Linked DNA regions of Caenorhabditis elegans. The protein of the gene in region 2 interacts with the protein of the main gene of each other region in a pairwise test. Each region holds a gene or a part of one and is shown on either strand. Other genes may lie near its edges.

The links.
Region 1: the proteins of Y75D11A.3 (region 2) and nlp-27 interact in a two-hybrid assay, tested with the Caenorhabditis elegans proteins (one large-scale study listed by BioGRID).

The regions. Positions count from the first base shown.
Region 1 is NC_003283.11:3,985,543-3,992,019, reverse strand, and holds nlp-27 (Neuropeptide-Like Protein), read right to left. Parts: upstream 2,643-6,477; 5' UTR 2,603-2,642; coding exon 2,518-2,602; intron 2,441-2,517; coding exon 2,307-2,440; 3' UTR 2,250-2,306; downstream 1-2,249. Other genes in the region: nlp-28 (QWGYGGY-amide), read right to left, coding at 3,807-3,913, 3,996-4,086.
Region 2 is NC_003284.9:1,740,884-1,748,336, reverse strand, and holds Y75D11A.3 (DEK_C domain-containing protein), read left to right. Parts: upstream 1-2,119; 5' UTR 2,120-2,135; coding exon 2,136-2,383; intron 2,384-2,516; coding exon 2,517-2,811; 3' UTR 2,812-2,821; intron 2,822-2,871; 3' UTR 2,872-3,241; downstream 3,242-7,453. Other genes in the region: Y75D11A.2 (DEK_C domain-containing protein), read right to left, coding at 4,814-5,108, 5,242-5,489.

The sequences.
Region 1 (6,477 bases), on a different chromosome or scaffold from region 2:
TTTTTCGAAATCTTGGGCAAATCGGAATTCCGATTTGCCGGAATTTTTCAATTTCCGCAATTTACCGATTTGCCCATTTGCTGGAAAAAACCGTTGGTCGCCTACCCCTGTTTCAAACATCAAAAACCCCGAAAAAATTTTCTTGAGGAAATACAGTATTTAAGAACAATAAATATGTAATACAGGTGAACAATAGAAATACTGAAAATGTCGAAATTTTTCAAATCTCAAAAAATACACGAATCTTTTAATGCCCAGTTTGTCCGGTTCATTTTGATTGGAAATATTTGAAAAAATTAATTTCAAAAAAAAAACACACAAAACAATCGAATGTTGGAGCTCAATAATATAATAAGATTTTGTCAGTTTATTGTCAAAACACCTAATTTTGGAATGTTGTGAAAATGCTGTGAGGATCCGGTTGCAGGCAGGCGTCAGGCCTTGGAACCGCGCCTGGCGCCTTACAAGTTTTAACAGTAACAATTTTCTAATAATCTTCTAGTAGGTCATATAACCAATTGGATCACAATCTGGGTTCGCAACAAACTATGAAAAATAGATACAGTGCTGGCCAAAAAGATATCCACTTTTGGTTTTTTGTGTGTAACTTTTTTCTAAGTGGTTATTTTGTTTTGAAACTTCACCACAGTGTTCACAAAATCTAAAAACACAATATTCATCAAAAATGTTCAACAGATTTTGAAAAAACTTCAGAAGAATTCAAAAAAATCGAAAAACTAGAAATATTGAAAAAACCGAGGTTGCAAGGAAATGACAATTAAAGTACCGGAATATGAGCAATTGGATTTAAAAACAACATAATCATGCTTAATACTTTGTCGCGTATCCGTTTGCATCAATAACAGCTTGACAACGACGTGGCATCGAGTCGATCAGCTTGTGAATAACTGACATGGGGATAGCTTTCCAAGCGTTTTCCAACTGGTTGAATTTGGCATCTGCATTTGAAGCCCGAATACCTCCAAGACGTCTTTCCAACTCTTCCCACAAATGCTCTATTGGATTCAAGTCCGGAGACTGACTTGGCCAATCGAGCAAATGCACACGACGACGTTGAAACCAGGAACGCACATGAAGAGAAGTATGCTTAGGATCGTTATCCTGCTGAAACACGAAGCCACGGCCCACATTTTGAAGTGCCCAGGGTCGCATTGTAGTTTCCAAGATGTTTTCGTATTGAAAACGATCCATAATGCTTTGGATTCTCCTTAGTGGGCCCATGGAAGTGCTGGTGAAGCACCCCCACACCATGACGCTCCCACCTCCATGCTTAACGGTTGGGCATTGATACTTTGGAGAGTACCTAGAGCCAACAGGACGACGTACCCAGGAATTTCCATCACTCCCGAACAAATTGAACTTGCTTTCGTCAGACCAGATGTGTTTAGCCCATTCCTGACGTCCCCAACGAAGATGCGCTTTTGCCCACGCAACTCGAGCCATGCGATTTTTCTTACTGATGAACGGTTTCTTGACTGGCTTTCGTCCGTGTAGTCCTGCTTGCTGTAAACGTCGACGAACAGTTCGTTTACTTGGTACAGGTTCATTTGGAGAACTTATAATCATTTGAATATCCGTGGCGGTCCTATGCGGATCTTCTCTTGCTGATCGGAGGATGTTGCGATCCATCCTATGGGTTGTCACTCGAGGCCTGCCGGGCGAGATTCTCAAAGCGACGGATTTCTAAACATTTATTATTAAAAAATAATATTTTTCGAACTCACCTCAGTTTGGTACTTCTTGATTACTTTCCAAATAGTCGACGGAGAACGTTGAATTTGCAGCGCGAGCATTTTCGTGGGTATTCCTTGTTCGAAGCCAGCTACAATGGCTTTCTTGACGTCCAAGGAAAGATTTTTACACCCAACAGATTTTACCATACCTTAAAAATAATTTATCAACCAAACAAATCCAGTGCAACAAACAGAGTGCGTTTTATTGATAATTCAAAAAAAATAATGAAAATTGGAAAAACGAAAAAATCAAAAAATTGAAATAAAATTCAGAAAAAATCGATAATCATGTAATGTTTGGTCCGCAAATTTGCGTAACATTTCGCTTTATGCACACGGAAAAATTCAAGTCAAATGGATGCTTGAGAAAAAAGTTACACACAAAAAACCAAAAGTGGATATCTTTTTGGCCAGCACTGTACTTTGACCTGAAATTCTCTGTCTTCTTCGTTTCTTTAGATACATGTTTCAAAGTTTGCGAGTAAGATAACAAATAAAGATCGAAAATTCATTATTATTTACAAAGTCAGAAGATTATTTAAAATATCGAATTTACTTTCCCCATCCACCGTATCCACCGTATCCTCCATATCCACCGTATGGGCTTCCCCACATGCGCCGTCTGTATCCCATTCCGTATCCTCCCATTCCGTAGCCTCCCATTCCACCGTATCCACCATATGGCACTGAAAAGTTACAATATATTGATATGTTAAACAGAAATGATCGAAAATTTAGGATTTAAACTTTTAAAGTAACTCACTTCCACCGTATCCCCACTGGGCGCTGGCAGCCATGAAGCAGGCGAGAAGGACGACAAGGATAAGAAGTGAAGAAGTGGAAATCATAATGATATTTCTTTGAAAAACTTGTAAATAAGTTTTCTGTATTCTACCTGGTTACCTGGCATCTTTTATACTGTTCATTTTGGGTTCCTTTTTCGTCAAACAACTAACTGATAAGATCATCTTTTTTTTTTCTACCACATCTCCACCTCCTGCACGCGGCGAACTGACTTGGTGAATCACTTTGAATTGGTCACTTGGTCAAATTGGTAATGGCCTATCGGGCAAAATACGCAATTTTTCTCAAGTGTTTTGATGTTTGTCAAGATGATCCATGGAAAATGACAAATCAGAAATGTTTTTTTGTTGCCAAATACATTTGTATAAAAAGTTACTGTGAAAAAGTAGCGTCGTAGTTTTTTTTGAGGAAAGTTCTATGAAAATATAGAGAAACAATTATAAATTTTGATAATAAATTTACTTTACATTAAGAGTTTCGAGAAGTTTTTCAAAAACGGTCTCAAAGTCAGTCAAAATGGGAGCAATGAAGCTAGAGTAAATTTTTGAGCAACTCCTCAAATTATTAAATAGAAAATAAATTTATTTGCAGAAAATTTGATTATTTCTCTTTAATTTTAACTATAAGAAAAACCAGGTTTTTGAGAATTTATATAGAAATACAGAAAAAATATCTGATCTTCTGAAATAATTTTTTTTCATTATAAATCAACTTTTAATTTTAGCACAACATCCAACTTTAACTCAACTTTTTGAGAAATTGCCTGTTAGAAGTTACAAAATTTTCTCAATTCTTTCATATAAGTTTTCAAAATATACTTTGCAAACCATGTCAATAATGTTGTAAAACACCACTTTGCAAAAATGTTGAGTTGATAAGATTTTGTTTCGAAGTTACAGAAATCACAAATCGTCCACTTGCTGTTTTTAAGAAGTATATCCAAAATACCAAATATAATTGTTTAAACGGATTACAAGGTATTGGTAGTAACTCAAACAATACGATCATGCACTGGTCAAGTACTGAAACTTAAAAAAAAATTTCCGTGCACACTGAAGTTCTAGTCTTGCAGGCTTTACATTCTACTAATTTTGAACGAGTTGTTTGAGTTTCACTCACTCAATAGTTACAATGTGGATAATACTTTTTGAATTTCAAAAATTTTATATGGGAATAAGTATACAAACCATCAGAATACTGCTGGAATCGACGAGATTTAGAATGAATATAGTTAGTAGGCTAATTTGTCTACTTTCCCCATCCTCCGTACATTCCACGGCCATATCCACCATACATTCCGCGTCCATAGCCTCCATACATTCCACGTCCGTATCCACCATATCCACCATAACCTCCTGAAAATGAAAAATATGTGTGAATGATTTAATTTTATATTGAGGTAAGTTTTTTTTTAATCAAAAAAGCACAAAAACTTACTTCCATATCCTCCATATCCCCACTGAGCACTGGTAGCCATGAAGCAAGCGAGAAGGAAGACGAGAATCAGAATTGAAGAAGTTGAAATCATTTTTGTATTTTAAAAGTCACGAAAATGATTTTCTGATGTTTACCACGTTTTTCGCCTCTTTTATAGGTGCCGTCGTCTATCTTCAATTAGTTTTTTTCGTTGATCAAGATCACAAGACTCGGTATTTTTACTTGAACATCACTGTTATACGTCAAATAAAGTTTGATTCTAGATCAGTTATAGATCAGTTCAAATTGGACAGTGGTAACGTTAGCCGTTATAAAATATTGGAACGTGGTATTTGTGTTTGATACGAAATATGATTTTTGTTACATAATATGAAAGATTTTAAGCATTTTGTACTTTTATAATAGTGGATTTTAACTTTTTAGGCAGCTTCAAAATTAAACCAACATCTCAGTCAATTTTCAAACATATTTGAGAGTGGAGTAGCGTTTGTGGGGTTTTTGCCCAAAATGACTCAATATACCGAACAGGGGTGAGCGGCAAATTTCAAAGTTTACCGTGTTGTGCCAACTCAAGAAAATCTCTTTTTCCAATATTTTCAAAACACGGCAAATTCGGCAAATTTGCCGTGTTGCTCGGACTCGGAAAATGTGATAGCTTTTGGTATTTTTTGGAGCACCAAAATTACTGAATTCGTAGCACACTTTGGATTTTTAATAAAGTCCGTGTGGTCTGCCTGCATAAATTAAAAATAGCTCAATTTTATGGTACCTTTCCAGAATTTTTGGAAAAAAAGTCAATAATTTCGGTCAAACTTTCCTTGTCTAATTTTTGGTGTGCGCGGCAAATTTTCTGACATTTTATGCAAAAAAAAAACAATTTACAAATAATTGATTTTAGGCCAACTTTAAAAATAGATTCAGCAAATTTCATCCGGGTGACCAAGTTTTCTTTGTAGCAAATTGCATGAAAATTTATCAAAAATCAAGAAAACCAATATTTATACAGTGCGTCCAACTTCTATAGCACCCCCCTCTAATTTGGCGGTTTGGAGCTTTTCAAAATATTTTCAGGAAAAGTGTTAGTGCAGTTCGATAGCAAATGTTGAAAAACCTATGCTCCCCAATTTTTATCATGATATCTCAAAAATCACGGAAATTAGGTCAAAATATCGGAAAAATGGCCGTCCAACTTCTATAGCACCCCCTCTGATTTTTGACAATTTTCGGTAAAATCGGGGGTTTCTTTGTAATTCATGAATTTATTTTGTGAATAACTTCACACCAAAATGATCAGACGGTTTCAGTTTTACATTTAAAAAATAAATATAACACTTGAAAACACGTGGAATGCCTGGGATTGTCCTGGAACGTTCTTATTTGCTTCAGAGGCCATATCTCGGCTCCCAATCGGTTTCGCAACACCAAACTTTATCAAAATGTTCTTCTCTGTCTAGTTATTTCTATGTTATTAGTTGGCGAGAACATTCATTCATATTAACCAAATGGAAAAAGGAGTAACTGCAGTGATTTTTAGAAGGCTTGATTTAACTCTGGAAACGAGCGTTTGGAGGCGCAGAGATAATGATTGAGAATACATTTTCGACAAAAAATTACTAAATTATAACAAAAATTGAAAATAATCTTATATGAACATCAAATCCGTGGAAATCCATGGATAAATCAAATGCCAGACTAATTGTCGCATGTTAGCTTGAGAAAACTACTTGCGGCCTCGCTTTGCCTTTGTCCTCTTTTTTGAGCGGTCTCGTGAACTCGTCCAAATAAAATTTCAAGGACTTCTAATCAAAATCAAAGCTTCGAAGATATTTAAATCATATGAGCTGAAATTCTGTACCATACAAAGTCAAAACCTTCAGCTCTGCGCCTCCAAACGCTCGTTTCCAGAGTTAAATCAAGCCTTCTAAAAATCACTGCAGTTACTCCTTTTTCCATTTGGTTAATATGAATGAATGTTCTCTACAACTAATAACATAGAAATAACTAGACGGAGAAGAACATTTTGATAAAGTTTGGTGTTGCGAAACCGATTGGGAGCCGAGATATGGCCTCTGAAGCAAATAAGAACGTTCCAGGACAATCCCAGGCATTCCACGTGTTTTCAAGTGTTATATTTATTTTTTAAATGTAAAAATGAAACCGTCTGATAATTTTGGTGTGAAGTTATTCACAAAATAAATTCATGAATTACAAAGAAACCCCCGATTTTACCGAAAATTGTCAAAAATCAGAGGGGGTATAGAAAGTTGGACGGCCATTTTGCTATAGATGCTATAGAAGTTGGACGGCCATTTTTCCGATATTTTGACCTAATTTCCGTGATTTTTGAGATATCATGATAAAAATTGGGGAGCATAGGTTTTTCAACATTTGCTATCGAACTGCACTAACACTTTTCCTGAAAATATTTTGAAAAGCTCCAAACCGCCAAATTAGAGGGGGGTGCTATAGAAGTTGGACGCAC
Region 2 (7,453 bases):
TTTTTTTAAATTTTTGATTTATTCTCTTTTTTTATCAACAAATATGTTCCAAAAAAAAATTTGAAATAAAAGCATTTTTTAACATTGCAAATGGATTAAAATTAGAATTTGAATTATCGTCGATGAAATGAAATTCCTCATTGTCAGTTTTTTGTCAAATTCTTATGTAGATCTTGCAAAATCAAGAAAAACAGATTATATTAATAAATATTTCAAACACCAAACCGGGAACAAAATCGTGTTCACTATTCTGAACGTCATGGGTTCGTTTCCCAGTAGTGTGATTTTTTCAAAAATGTTTTATGCCAGACACATATACAATATGAGCCTAGTAAGTGACTTCAAAGGGGTCCACCAGGGATGGCCAAAAATTGTGTCTCTTTGCCCATTTGTTACAATACCGAAACTATTAATTTGATCTATGTAGATATCTATTTTCAATAATTTCTCAGAACTTTTATTCCAAAAAAAAATCTATATCCTGAGACAATTTTCTAACATTACTGATTTGACAATGATTGTTCACTGCCGTCAAATGAAAGATCATAGATTTGTAGATTATAGACCATAGACACAACGAAAAGATTCAAGAATTTTAGCCCGAAACTTATTTGGACCCCTAACAGAAATTCAAGCAATAACTGTAGTCTTTTCACAAGCCGAAAGATTGTTGAGTTCTTAATAATTGAAATTGAATCATTCTAACAATAATTCAATTGAGCACTCAATAAAAAAACTACCGTAGTTTTTCCATGTAATTTTTAATTTTTTTAATAATAAATCATTCACTTTTTAATGCTGCACCGTACATTCTTACACACGATAATCATTTTTTTTCTCAATATTTATCATATGCAAATGGAGTTCAGGGATGAAATTGCAAGATGGTATAGCAGTGCCCCCATTTTCTTTTCATTTTTCCCATGAGTCAGCGTAAACGATCACTGAAAAAGTTCCAATTTTCCTCATTTTTGTGTTTTTGTTTCTCTGCAGAAAATCTGGCATTCATTTTGTTTTAGCTTTGTGATCTAGTATTTGATTTTTGTAATTTTGAAATTACAAATGAATCTGTAAAATTCAATTTAAAATTTGGAGTGCATTGCATCAGTTTTTCGCTTTTTAATATGCTTTCTCAATAAAATTGAATAAATATTTTCGTTTCTCCTACTTTTAAGTATTAAAAAAAAATATTGCAAACTGGTAATTTCATCTTCAAAGCGAAACAATTTTACCCTCACATCACATCTGGCCATATTTTTTTTTCTGAAACAAAAATTGGCAAATATGGCATTGGTACTAGCGGTTACACTGATACCAGCTGTACATTTGAAAAAAATCAACCTTCTTCATAGTACTGGCACCTGTCATTTAATTTATTCCTGAACTTCATTCGTCAGAATTCAAACACAGTATTTTTTGAATAAAAAAGTGCAAAATTTTTTCCTATTTAATTTTGATCTACCGCCGCGCAATTGTTGTCGCCTCGCAGTTCTGTGCGCTGCCGCAAGCGTTCATCTAACCACCTGCGTCTCTCGTTTACAACTGTGTTTTGATTATTTCATTTTTGGTCCGCTCACTCTCATTTATCTTTTTTTTATCGTCCGGTAACGTGACAGTTTTTCTTATCTGCTGAAATTACACTAGTTTTCGAGTGATTCACCTTTTACTTTAGTATTTTTCTGTTTTTATTTCTTAGAAACTGCCTATGCTCATAATTTTCTGCCGTCATAAATTGTCGATTTCTGCACGCCGAGCCCGCAATTTTTTCTAAATTTTAAGCGTAATTTTCCCAGCCAATTGAATCCTTCTCATCACTTTGCTTTCTAAAAAACAACCCAAATGCGCCAAGATTTTATTATCCTTTTTGTCTGGCTAGGTACTTTACTTTTAGAGCTTAGAAATATCTATAGAAAGCCCATTTTGTGAAAATTAATATTTCCATGGGCCGCCTGACATTATGTCCTTTTTGATGATACCGTTTAATTCGATTTGTGATCTTTTGCTCATGCTGCCCAGAGATGGTATTTTTTAAGAAAATTTGAAATAATTGATTTTTTTTCTCTCAAATTTTCAAACATTGTACTGTACGTATTTTTTTTGTTCTCAAACCATTTTTCTTCCAGGTTACAGTCAGTATGCTCTCATCACAAGAAGAGTTCTTCGTCCAATTCAGCATCAGCTGCTGGATGCCTTCCTTCAACCTGATGGTGGCTGCTGAGAAGGGACGAGTGTTGCAGCGGGATCCGATGTTCAAGACCGTCCCAAGATTGCTCTTCAAGGAGCTCCGCCAGCTTCCGGCTAATGACGACATTTCCGATGGTGAATTGAAGAAGAAAATCGCGGATGCCATCGACCTCTACCTGCCAGAGACCGTCGAGCTTTTGTGAGTTTGAGTTGCTATTGGATTTAGTGAAAAAGTATTAGCTGGCAAAGTATTGATTTTCTTTAACAGTTATGGGCCCAAAGTAAAACTGCCAAGTTCTTCATTTATTCCAATTATTAACTTGCTATTTCAGGCGAATCACATTCCACGAGGACGTGACGAGAATCATCCAGAACCAAGCGGCAATGGCAAGAAGGGAGAAGGAGCTCAATACTCCCAAGCTCGTCAAGCCTCAGGACATGCTCAAACGTGTCAAGCCTGCCGAGAAGAAGGAGAAGATCAAGCGTGGGAAGTCAGCTATCAAGAAGCAAAGCCCTGTAGTTGAGATGCGTGTTTTCAAGGAGAGGAAACGTGCTCAACCATGTGCTTCGGACAATGAGAGTTTGTCGATTGCTGAGCGCGTCAAGCGCATTCGTTTGGACAATTAGGGTGTGACAGGTGGGAAAAATCGATATATTTGTTTTGTAATTAAAACTTGAATATTGCAGAGCTCTACACACTTCTTCCATCGACACCTTCCCTCGGCACGCCTGCACATTCAATTGAATCAACTCATTCAAAGTACTGTTTATCCTGATTTTACCCCCTTTTTTTTCTGGTACCACTTTGCCTTAATTTTTTTTTCTCTCCACATTTTTTTTTGCCATTCCCCAAACATTTCTTGTTGAATATTACCGGTTCTCCTCCAACTCCCCAAGTGCTCATATATTTACCCATTTTCCAGTCAATCATTACCGATGATTTTTTTATTGTACATATGCATTTAGATGAAGAAATTTGAATAGCTCATGGAAAAAAATCAAATTCTTGGTAGATCTTGCAATTCTCCTTTTTGTCTGTACTGTCACACTTGAATCAGGAAAATCAGATTATATTAATAAAAATTTTTTCGGGGCTGTTTAAAATGGAATGAAATCGATCCATGAAGTTCCAATTAAATTAAAATGCACTAGACAAACCTGGCATTGGCTCGAACTTGTAGAATGTTGGTCTTTTTTTTTGGAACATAGAATAATTTTTCAGCAATATCAGGATTTGGAGGTGCGATAGCATCATGAGCGATGGATACATGATGATCTTTAGTATATTTGATGCTGCAAGCTCATCGAAAACTTTGTAAAAATCATCAAGACTATGAGCAATGGCACCGAGTAAAAACCAAAAAAATATTGACCTCTGGCGGGATCGAACCCCGGTCTTCTGTGCAGAGCAGAACTTTACCAAAACACCAAATGTTCATAAATTCTTGCTTTTAGGATAATAATCTAAAAAACAAAAAACACCCGAAGGAACCCTAGAAGAAACCCGGAAGGATTCGAACCGACGTCTCTGGCTTTGAACTTGAAGCCGGGATTTAAAGTCCGACTCACAAGACCAGTGTGTTAACCACTACACCACAGGCCCATAGTAACCTGGCGGCCAATTAGCAATTAAGTATTGAAAGGAAAAAGCTCATCAGGAGTGGCGCATAGTGCGTCTGCGCAGAAACGCTGTCTCAGCATTTTGCCAGAGCTTTCTCACGCACTTTTACAGAAAGATCTGAACTATGCATGAACTCTGAAGAAGTGCGACGAAGTCAAAAAAAAAAAAGGAGACACCACCTGTAGATTCAACGTTTCTGATGAGTTTTCAGTATATTTGCGTAGTCATACTATGCTCTGAAAGTCTGTGGTAGGGCTTCCTTGTAGGCGACAAAACGCCTGCCTGTCTCGCGCCTTCAAATGCGCCTTCTATTAAAATAGAAGTGAAAATCATCTCAAGCTCCCACTTCAACTTGAATGGAAAGTTTTACCGAAAAAAAAGTAAGCCATATATCCTTTTTCATATTTTAACAATAACAAGCACGTGCTTCGTATACTGTTCGAGGAATTTCGCCGCCGACCGGGTCACGACTCATGACAATCTTCCCGATAGTGCATTGAAGATGAAAATTGCGAATGCCGTCGACTATGAAAATCAGTGAAATTGTCTTTTCTTTCATGAGCTATTCAAATTTCTTCATCTAACTAAATACAATAAAAAATCATCGGTAATGATTGACTGGAAAATGCGTAAATATATGAGCACTTGGGGAGTTGGAGAAGAACCGGTAATATTCAACAGGAAATGCTTGGGGAATGGCAAAAAAAATATGTGGAGAGAAAAAATAATTAAGGCAAAGTGGTACCAGAAAATCGGGTTGGTGAAGGGAAAACTGTTGGGATAAGGACGTATTTCGATAGGAACACTATTCAGCAAGTGTATCGAGAAAATCAATAAAAGCCAGGGTGAGGGGGTGAAATTAGGATAAACAGTACTTTGAATGAGTTGATTCAATTAAATGTGCAGGCGTGTCGAGGGAAAGTGTCGATGGAAGAAGTACATGAAGCTCTGCAATATTCAAGTTTTAATTACAAAACAAATATATCGATTTTTCCCACCTGTCACATCCTAGTCGTCCAAACAAATGCGCTTGACGCGCTGAGCAATCGACAAACTCTCATTGTCCGAAGCACATGGCTGAGCACGTTTCCTCTCCTTGAAAACACGCATCTCAACTACAGGGCTTTGCTTCTTGATAGCTGACTTCCCACGCTTGATCTTCTCCTTCTTCTCGGCAGGCTTGACACGTTTGAGCATGTCCTGAGGCTTGACGAGCTTGGGAGTATTGAGCTCCTTCTCCCTTCTTGCCATTGCCGCTTGGTTCTTGATGATTCTCATCACGTCCTCGTGGAATGTGATTCGCCTGACATAGCTAGTTAATAATTGGAATAAATGAAGGACTTGGCAGTTTTACTTTGGGCCCATAACTGTTAAAGAAAATCAATACTTTGCCAGCTAATACTTTTTCACTAAATCCAATAGCAACTCAAACTCACAAAAGCTCGACGGTCTCTGGCAGGTAGAGGTCGATGGCATCCGCGACTTTCTTCTTCAATTCACCATCGGAAATGTCGTCATTAGCCGGAAGCTGGCGGAGCTCCTTGAAGAGCAATCTTGGGACGGTCTTGAACATCGGATCCCGCTGCAACACTCGTCCCTTCTCAGCAGCCACCATCAGGTTGAAGGAAGGCATCCAGCAGCTGATGCTGAATTGGACGAAGAACTCTTCTTGTGATGAGAGCATACTGACTGTAACCTGGAAGAAAAATGGTTTGAGAACAAAAAAAATACGTACAGTACAATGTTTGAAAATTTGAGAGAAAAAAAATCAATTATTTCAAATTTTCTTAAAAAATACCATCTCTGGGCAGCATGAGCAAAAGATCACAAATCGAATTAAACGGTATCATCAAAAAGGACATAATGTCAGGCGGCCCATGGAAATATTAATTTTCACAAAATGGGCTTTCTATAGATATTTCTAAGCTCTAAAAGTAAAGTACCTAGCCAGACAAAAAGGATAATAAAATCTTGGCGCATTTGGGTTGTTTTTTAGAAAGCAAAGTGATGAGAAGGATTCAATTGGCTGGGAAAATTACGCTTAAAATTTAGAAAAAATTGCGGGCTCGGCGTGCAGAAATCGACAATTTATGACGGCAGAAAATTATGAGCATAGGCAGTTTCTAAGAAATAAAAACAGAAAAATACTAAAGTAAAAGGTGAATCACTCGAAAACTAGTGTAATTTCAGCAGATAAGAAAAACTGTCACGTTACCGGACGATAAAAAAAAGATAAATGAGAGTGAGCGGACCAAAAATGGAATAATCAAAACACAGTTGTAAACGAGAGAAACAAAATGAATGCCAGATTTTCTGCAGAGAAACAAAAACACAAAAATGAGGAAAATTGGAACTTTTTCAGTGATCGTTTACGCTGACTCATGGGAAAAATGAAAAGAAAATGGGGGCACTGCTATACCATCTTGCAATTTCATCCCTGAACTCCATTTGCATATGATAAATATTGAGAAAAAAAATGATTATCGTGTGTAAGAATGTACGGTGCAGCATTAAAAAGTGAATGATTTATTATTAAAAAAATTAAAAATTACATGGAAAAACTACGGTAGTTTTTTTATTGAGTGCTCAATTGAATTATTGTTAGAATGATTCAATTTCAATTATTAAGAACTCAACAATCTTTCGGCTTGTGAAAAGACTACAGTTATTGCTTGAATTTCTGTTAGGGGTCCAAATAAGTTTCGGGCTAAAATTCTTGAATCTTTTCGTTGTGTCTATGGTCTATAATCTACAAATCTATGATCTTTCATTTGACGGCAGTGAACAATCATTGTCAAATCAGTAATGTTAGAAAATTGTCTCAGGATATAGATTTTTTTTTGGAATAAAAGTTCTGAGAAATTATTGAAAATAGATATCTACATAGATCAAATTAATAGTTTCGGTATTGTAACAAATGGGCAAAGAGACACAATTTTTGGCCATCCCTGGTGGACCCCTTTGAAGTCACTTACTAGGCTCATATTGTATATGTGTCTGGCATAAAACATTTTTGAAAAAATCACACTACTGGGAAACGAACCCATGACGTTCAGAATAGTGAACACGATTTTGTTCCCGGTTTGGTGTTTGAAATATTTATTAATATAATCTGTTTTTCTTGATTTTGCAAGATCTACATAAGAATTTGACAAAAAACTGACAATGAGGAATTTCATTTCATCGACGATAATTCAAATTCTAATTTTAATCCATTTGCAATGTTAAAAAATGCTTTTATTTCAAATTTTTTTTTGGAACATATTTGTTGATAAAAAAAGAGAATAAATCAAAAATTTAAAAAAAAAGGATAAAATTAAGAATAAAATCGAAGGATGTCAATATGCAGAAGTTGGATGTAGAGTTGGAGATCTAGAAACGTCGTCTTCTTGCATTCATGCTGAAAATTTTACATTTTATCACATTTAATATAAAATAATCGGTCTAAACTTACATTCTTTCATATTCAACTTCAACGTCATACAGTATTATGCTGTCCATCGCCGCATACTCGATCTGAGCTCGATGACCCCCCCAATTTGACATCGTCTCACTTTTGTCAAAATCACACACATGCGATCTGTCTACAGGGTTTTATATCTGTTTCCACAAATGTCTTTAATGGTTCTGATATTGGCGTTTTATCAA